Linked DNA regions of Xenopus tropicalis. The protein of the gene in region 2 purifies or fractionates together with the protein of the main gene of each other region. This does not show direct contact. Links are inferred from orthologs where the notes say so. Each region holds a gene or a part of one and is shown on either strand. Other genes may lie near its edges.

Region 1 (4,410 bases), on a different chromosome or scaffold from region 2:
TTAGATCCTATCGGATTATTAAAGCTGCAAACCCTCAGTTCCCTTTAAATCTACACAAGAGGCAGTAAGCATACAATCTGTTCTCCCAAACCACTTTATCTGTCCCACACAGTTCAATGCAGCACATTCCTCCCTTACAGAGATCATGCATCATTCCCATCAGCCCCTGCCCCCAGTGGATCTTCCAGTCTAAGGTTCCTATAACATCCACACAGAATGGGCAATTTTATCAGGAGCCAATAAACTTCCATGTATGCTTTTGGAAACCCACATAGGCAAGGGGAGAACATACAAACCCCTTGCAGATAGTACCCAAGCTGAAATCCAACTTAGGACCCCAGTGCTGCAAGGCACAAGTGCTACCCCCACCGAGCCACCGTGCTGCCCAGTAGCACAATGTAGCCGATGCCAGCTGGTCAGAACCAGAATGGAAAGACATAGCCAAATAATGTTTTAAGTTGCAACAGTATTTTCAAGTAACATTAAAAACATTACAAATGCATAATACACAATTTCATTATGCAAATCCCAGAAAGTAACAACTCTTTTCATAGGCTGACAAATTCAAACACTGTGTGCAAAAAAAAAAAAAACTCTCTCTATGTTACCATTTAGATAAGATTGAAAAAAGACACACATCCACCAAAATTATATAAACTTCCCACATATCTGGCTCTGCACAATAAATATTAACCCGATTTCTAACTTTTACATAATTTTGTCAGTGAGACTGACTTTAACAAACTACAACTTTTCTTTCAACTTGTGTTTATTTAACCTCTGCTGCAATAATGACAATATGATGGGACCTACCTGTAATATTATTCCAGGATTTCCCCAGTTTGGACAAGCTTAGCATTAGCAAAATGATTATATAGGGATGGCAAGTGTGTTGAGTTAACAAGTACCATGCACTGTATACCAGCTGTCAACCTACATAATTTTACTTTCCCCTTAACATTTCCACCTTACACTAATTGATTCCTGCTCATTTTGTCATTCTGCATTTATGTGCTAGTTTATACTGAAAACTACAAAAAAATCCCTTGCATAAACTACCCCTGAAATAATGTAAACTAAAGCTTGGTATACACAGAGAATTCTGATGTAAGACATTGGTGGCTGTCGGTAGACCTACAGAGAGAGATAAAAACACTACCAGGCTACCCAAAGAATCTTGTGGATTGTGTTAGTTTTATTTCTATGTGTTCACAAGGAGAAACCTGCAAATTTAGCAAAGGTTTGTACAAATAGTATTCAAACAATACTGAGAACAAATCATAGGGGATAAAGCTAGACTACACAGAAAGATCTGCTCATTTATCAAGGTTGGTCATGTGTTGGCTCAAATCAGGCTGATTCAATCATTTGGATCCTGGACAAACAATGGTATCATGACAGGAGAATATAAAGATCATTTGAGGAGGAGTGCATTAACACACAATCCCGGTATCTGTCAGGCAGGCTATACACATTGCCACCATACATTAGGCAATATGCTGCCAACTCTGAATTGAGTCAGTGTATTGCCACTAAGTGATATGTAAACAAGAATTATCTGTAAAGTCTGTATAACTGGTAGGATAATAGTGCAACCCAAAGCAGGCCCCTTGTAGTCTATAGAAGCACACACCCCCTTATAGAGAAGAAAAGCTGTATGGATGCTACTCTTGGAGCAGCTGAATGCACATTCCTAAACTGGGCAGAGCAGTTACAGGCATACACCCCCCATCAGGGTAGAATGGTGCACCCAAAAGCCCACCATCCTCAGGGCAGAGTGGCCCAAAGCACACCCTCCTTCAGGGCAATGTAAAGTACAATGTACATCTTTACTAGGGGCAGTACAACAGTGGCCAAACAGACCAAAGCATAGCCATCTATTTGCCAATGAAGCTCAAAGCACAAATCATACCCTGGTAAGGGTAATCATTGTCTAAAACGATGTATCACTCACACAGACATTCAGCACAGATTCACAGTAGACAGCGCATCCCATTATTATAAACATGCCAACATAACAGTATGGCCGTGAGAGCAGCACAGGCAAGGCTTGAGGGTGACACAGTTTCACTTGTTAAGCTTTTGGGGAACCAAGTAGCACCTATTTCACAGAATGAATAGGGAGAAGCCTCACATCCCTCCCCTCAGCAGTAACCCCTACAGCCATATGCAGGTCTGTGCTGCCTACCGTGGCACTGCCACAATGAAGCTTTAGAGCTGCGCAGTTACATCCTGCATTGCATTATTTACCCAATTTCATTCCCCTCTTTTGTTGATTAATAACTGCTTTCCCATGATGCTCAGCCATGCAAGCCTAACTCCTCAGCCTGGGAGTGGCATTTTTGCCCTGTACTGTACCTGTCCAAAGTCTCGACGCTAGGCTGGCGGGAGCTGGGCAGCGAGGGGGGCGCGGACGGCCGGGGAGGCTTTCTGGCAGCAGGCGCCGCACCCGCAGCGCTTACACCCCCTCCAGGCACAGCCTCCAAACCCGACAGCTTGTCCATGGGCTCTTCCTTTCCACCCCTCCCTCCTCTCCGGATACTTGTACGGCCGCTGACCCCCCCTTAGCCTGCTTATCGCACAGGAAAAGCCGGATTTCAGGCCGCTCTTCCTGCCGGCTTCCTGCACAGGGGAGGGAGACCCAGTGACTCACACAGCCGCCATGTCTTTGGACTGTCAATCGGCCCTGAGCCCATCATGCACCGCGGCGGCACAGAAAGCTGCTGTGTCCCACAATGCACTACGGCTGCTACTAGACATCGCTGAGGGGAGGATGGTTATTTGTGTGTCTCAGTTGCGCAAAGTTTATATTGCGGTTTTTTTGGGAAAACGATTTAGGGAAGTGGCGGCAGTGGTGGGTGTAATAACAAATGACCATTGCTTTATAGTTACCGTCTTGTCTGCGTCTTGCCTGATTATTGCTTTCCTTCCTGCTGAGGATGACTTTGAAGATAATAAAATGATGTAGACACACGTGACACGTAGTTACTAATAGCTGTTCTGGGGAATGGGTGCGTCACCATAGCGGGTTTAGTCACTGAGGTTGGCTTCCTCTTATATTATCTGCTTTACTCTTATTGTAACTACTAGGGGCACCGACTGCTCCATATTACCCAGTTTCCTAAATGGAAATCCGCTTATCTCTCCAATGTGATTGGTGAAAATGTGGAACCCTGAGACGTCACTTTAAAAAAATATATATATTCGTTTTGAAAGGTGGATAATATTTTATATGAATGTAACCCTTTCTTGGCACATTCACTTAATATTGGGCTGTATTTACAGGAGTTGTGTGTTCTCAGTGAAATATAGATACTGGGAACAGCGCAGTGCCTCCACCTAGTGGACACTGAGGAACACACCTCTAGGGGATTTCCACCTGGAAATAATCACACACGGTTTGCAGCAATATCGAACTTTATATAACTTTTGAAATAGAAAATAGAACAGCTTTAGGGATGATTGATAATCCTGCCCTGAGGAACTTGTGTGGGCTATCCACTGCAGGCACAGTCTCTGTACTTGCCCAGCCCCAACTTGGATAGACCCCCAAACCCTTTAAATCAGTTCAGTCCCTTCCCCAAGAGCTCTTTAGCCCCCCCCAGGTAGCGCTACCTGCCCCAGAGTACCTTCCCCGTTGAAAAGGGTGGCTGCTCCCACGTAGCAGGCGAACGGGCAATACCTGTTCATTCCAGGGGACACACACACAGAGAGTTCCACAGAGGACTTTATACTCCCTAGCAGTCCAGCAGACTTTTATTCTTTCAAGTCTGAACACACCACACTTTGTACTGGCTGCTCACTCTGGATCTCTCTCTGTGCACTGGCAAACAGCAGGGGCTCCCTTTATAAACTGCTGGCCCCCCCCCTAGATTTTTGGCTCCAAAGCTTAGGCACACCTCTCCCAGACGTGCACTGGGGCATCCAAGCCAATCAGATCCCTCCCCAGTCTCTAGGCTGGATGAGATCACAGACTGAGAAACAGGGGACAGGGTTCTCTGATCCCCTACATGAAGATAAAGCAAATTTCAGAGTTTATGTAGGAGATGTTTAGGCATAGAACGTGATATGGGCCTGGCAATGGTGCAATGTGGTAATACTTATATTAGCTGTGTCTAGCACTTACCAGCCTCAGTCCCATCATGCTGCTTGTCCTTGGCTGCCTAGCACCCACCTTTGGACTGGGATTCAAAATAGGCCCTGGCATTTCAAGTAGACAGAGGCCCAAACAGCCTACACTACCCACTAAATAGTAAATATCTATGGCACTTACAACAATCCCTCTGGCATTTGCCAGATACCACAGATTGCCTGTCCCTGGCAGCCTTTCACCACAACTTTTTCCCAAGATGGCAGTGGCTATGTCCAGACACCTTTCTGATTGTTCCATTTCAGGCTGACTTTGTTTTT
Region 2 (3,817 bases):
GCCGTGTGCCATTACAGATATATATCATATTATATATCAAAATAGCTTTTGAAATGAAAATGGCTTTTTAAAATTGTGTTTACATACATACAACTCTAAAAGCATGTACCTCATCAAACAGGTCAAGTGCTCGGTATGGTGCACCACGTTCTGTGACAAACCCCGCAAAAGCCATTCCTTCTAAGACTTTAGTCAGGAAATCGTCCTCCACCAAGCCACGTTGACCAAGAAAAGATGCCTATTTACAAATAAAAGTAGGAAAAGCAGTGAAGGTACCCATAGAAAATGAAAAAAAAACTCAAGAAGCACTCATAATGACTGTGACAGGCACTTGTGATATGATGTAGATGAAAGAGGAAAAACAGAGAGAAAGGTGACTAGATAAATAACATAAGGAAGATGACACAAAGTTAGATTTACCTTATGAAAACGAATGACAGGCTCAGGATGAATTCGTATTAGTTGCAGACAACAACGATATCCCTGAAAGATTTGTGCAAAAAGACGCAGAAACGAAGCACGTATTTCCATATCCTGTAATAGAGTATTATAACAGCCTGAATAAACATTAACCTTAGTACAAAATTACAATCAAAGCATAGAGCCAGAAATTGTGATATGGACACATATAACAATTAATGAAGGGATGAATCAATTTCCTTGACAAAAATGTTTTGTCAGCATTAATGATGGAAATAAATAATTTTGGTTTAAAGAATAATGGAAAAAATGTTTACTACTTAAATCCATCAAACATATGCTAGTATGAGGACATTTATTTTATGTTGCAAATTTCTAAATTAAAATGAAACTTTTAAAGGAGAAGGAAAGGTTAAGTCACTTGGGGGTGCCAAAATGTTAGGCACCCCCAAGTGACTTAAATCGCATACTTTTTACCCCGGGCTGGTGCCCCTGTTCAGAGATAACAGCACCAGCCCGGGGTAGCTGCGAGCACTTCCTCTTCCGTATTTGCCTCACACGCATGCGCAGTAGAGTGAAAAAGCTGAACTTAAACATAGAAGTTGGCTTTTCACTCTACTGCGCATGCGCCGGCCCACGGATTTTGCCGGTAGCGCGAAGACGAAAGGAGGAAGGCTCGTTGCAGGTGCCCCGGGCTGGTGCTGTTTTCTCCTAACAGGGGCACCAGCCCGGGGTACAAGGTAAGCGGTTAAAGTCACTTGGAGGTGCCTAACATTTTGGCACCCCCAAGTGACTTAGCCTTTCCTTCTCCTTTAACATTTTATATTTTACATTTACACACACCATGATATGTCTATCATTTTGACAAAATTAGTGTTACCCAGCTTAGTGTTAGATATTAAATTGCCTGCAAAGGGTTACCTGCATTCTGAGAGTAGATGCAGTAATGGAGGATGGTGGAAATGCCAGATCTGCAATCACTAATGAGGGATCTAGAACCTAATAACAGAAAAATATATTAAAAGTAAATGAGTTGGAGAAATGAAAACAAGTAAAAATGCAAAGACTGAGAATAAATATAAGAAAGAAAGAAAAGTTAATAAGAAAAGAGAACTAGATACTAAGGTAAAATGGAAGAAGTGGCTGCAGGTACAAAAAAGGCATGTACAAAGAAGATACCAATATGTATGTATAAGTCATCAGGTGGCAAACAATGTACTGACAGGAAATATATACTGAACATAAAGGGTCAAACTTACTTGCGAAATTGCTTCTTGTGTGTGATGCAGCAATGGCTCAGGCAGAAAAGGGATCTGAACACACTCTGGGACTGTAACAGTGCCGCCATCCAAATCTGCAATAACCACATCAAGCTGGAGAGATAAATTGAAATCACAGAGTTAAACACATTTACAGAGTATGGATTACCTTTTTCGTAAATGAATAGAGAAAGGCAAAACTGAACAAAGTCACAAGAAAAATGTCAAGCTAACCTTAGGACACACCTACAGCAATTCAGTAAAACTGGAAACTTAACAGAGAAGATATCATCAAGGGAGAACCTATACTTACAAAAGGGGCCTTTGTAAAGTCTTACAGTAACAAATAGCTGCTAGCGAATATAATAATCTCTGCTGCTGGTCTGGGAGAGGCACAACACAGGGGTGAGATGGTCTTACAAATGTACAAAAAAAATTAATTGTATCCCAGGCAAGAAGCAAAGCACAGAATATACAGAAAGTAAAAAATTCACTGTAATGGTTTTGTGACAATAGGCAACGACCCTATTCCCAGGCATCAAAATGACAGAAAATATGGATCAGTAAAAAAAAAAAAAAAAAATTAAACTAAATCAAAGGGAAGGAAGGATGTGGCACATTTTATACTCAGAAAGTTCCTGGACAGAGAGATTAGCAAAATCTAGCGCATTTTATAAAACAGTAGGTCAATGCACAAAGAATTGCTTACATTTTAGAGATATTTTTGTTAACCCAGACAGTCCTAAGTTAGCTGCAACTAATGCTAGGAGGCAATAGTTCGGCTTTATACAGCACAAAAAAAGCAATATTTTCCTTACCAGCTCCTGAGTCTCTGCCCGAAACAAGGCATTAACACCAATGATAAAGGGCGTGGGGGTACTGAGAACCTCTAGTAGCTGTGCAGGGAGGATGGGTACATATGTGAAACTGCAAGAGGAACAGAACATTTGCTGAACACTATCAGAACAAATAAGTGAGCACAGTGCATGTGTTAAGTTAAAAACATTCATTTAGACTTAGTGTGAAATTGCCCTATAGGCATTGACTCACCTATATCTGAGAGGAAACATTATGGCTAAAAGGGCTCTGCAAGCTTCAGTGAGACGCTGGTAGCTCGTGGATAGGAAGAGTATTTTGTGCTCAGTAAGAGCTGCGCAAAACAGGCAAAGCACATTGGTAATACCTGGATATGCAAGCAAGAATAACCAAGAGTTAAACCTACAATATTGACTTTAATATAATACTGATTTGTTCAAGGTAGAGAAAATGCCATCAGTTTGTTAAGAAGTAATACTAATTTTGTTTGCAAAGGGTATAACTGGAAAGAAGAGAATAAACAGAATGTTTAATTCCTTACCAAGCTGCCGAAAAAGCAGGGCCACACTGCAATTGCTGATTGGCAGGGAGTCACATATTGGTGTCTGTATAACTTGTCGGTCTCCTGCTCCAAGAGAGATGGTCCTCTACACAAAATCAGTATGAATGCACCCAAGGGAGGAAAACAGAGATTGAAGTCCAAGTAAAAAGGAAAAGGTTTGCAGCAGAAAAGATCAGATACATACAAAATTATTACAAACTTTTAATTCAGGACAGGAAAATGAAGGCCTACAGTAGAGGGGTTAAAGGCCACCTATCAATGATTTTGCGTCTCCCACCAGAAGTGCGGGCAGCCATACTGCAGCACACACATGTGCATATCGAGCGAGTGCTGCAACTTGCTTCTCATGAGACACATCCACCGCTCCTATGTTGCATGCATGCGCATGATGAGTGAGCGAGGAGTTCATTATGCGCATGCATGCTAAATAACTTGGCCTTGTGCAGACGGGGCTGTCTTTTAGAAAAAAAACTATTGTTTCCCCAACCAGAGTGCAGGCTCTATTAACCCACACATTTGGTGGGGGAAGCAAAAACATTGCGATAGGTGCCCTTTAAAAAAGAACACTGACAGAACACAAGCAAAGTAAAGGTAAAGTGCATGGCCCAGAAAAGAGTAAACTTTAAAAGCGTAGTGCAGGTGCTGGTATCAAGGTAAAAGAACTGAAGGAGTAAATGTGAGGGAGCACACACTGTGCATTAGTGGAATTATGTGCCCATCATAATCTGATCATATCCCTAGTCTAACCTGCATAGTAATC

Evidence for each region.
Region 1: the proteins of sbf1 (region 2) and mtmr1 purify together in Homo sapiens (affinity purification with mass spectrometry; 4 studies listed by BioGRID and IntAct, with this or other methods). This does not show direct contact. The link is inferred for Xenopus tropicalis from reciprocal best matches to the Homo sapiens genes SBF1 and MTMR1.

Annotation. Positions count from the first base shown.
Region 1 is NC_030684.2:58,028,481-58,032,890, reverse strand, and holds the start of mtmr1 (myotubularin-related protein 1), read right to left. Parts: upstream 2,832-4,410; 5' UTR 2,505-2,831; coding exon 2,359-2,504; intron 1-2,358. UniProt on the Homo sapiens protein: Lipid phosphatase that specifically dephosphorylates the D-3 position of phosphatidylinositol 3-phosphate, generating phosphatidylinositol. Could also dephosphorylate phosphatidylinositol 3,5-bisphosphate to produce phosphatidylinositol 5-phosphate.
Region 2 is NC_030679.2:89,287,738-89,291,554, forward strand, and holds part of sbf1 (myotubularin-related protein 5), read right to left. Parts: intron 3,143-3,817; coding exon 3,037-3,142; intron 2,863-3,036; coding exon 2,730-2,862; intron 2,607-2,729; coding exon 2,498-2,606; intron 1,794-2,497; coding exon 1,680-1,793; intron 1,420-1,679; coding exon 1,342-1,419; intron 535-1,341; coding exon 421-534; intron 239-420; coding exon 110-238; intron 1-109. UniProt on the Homo sapiens protein: Acts as an adapter for the phosphatase MTMR2 to regulate MTMR2 catalytic activity and subcellular location. Promotes the exchange of GDP to GTP, converting inactive GDP-bound Rab proteins into their active GTP-bound form.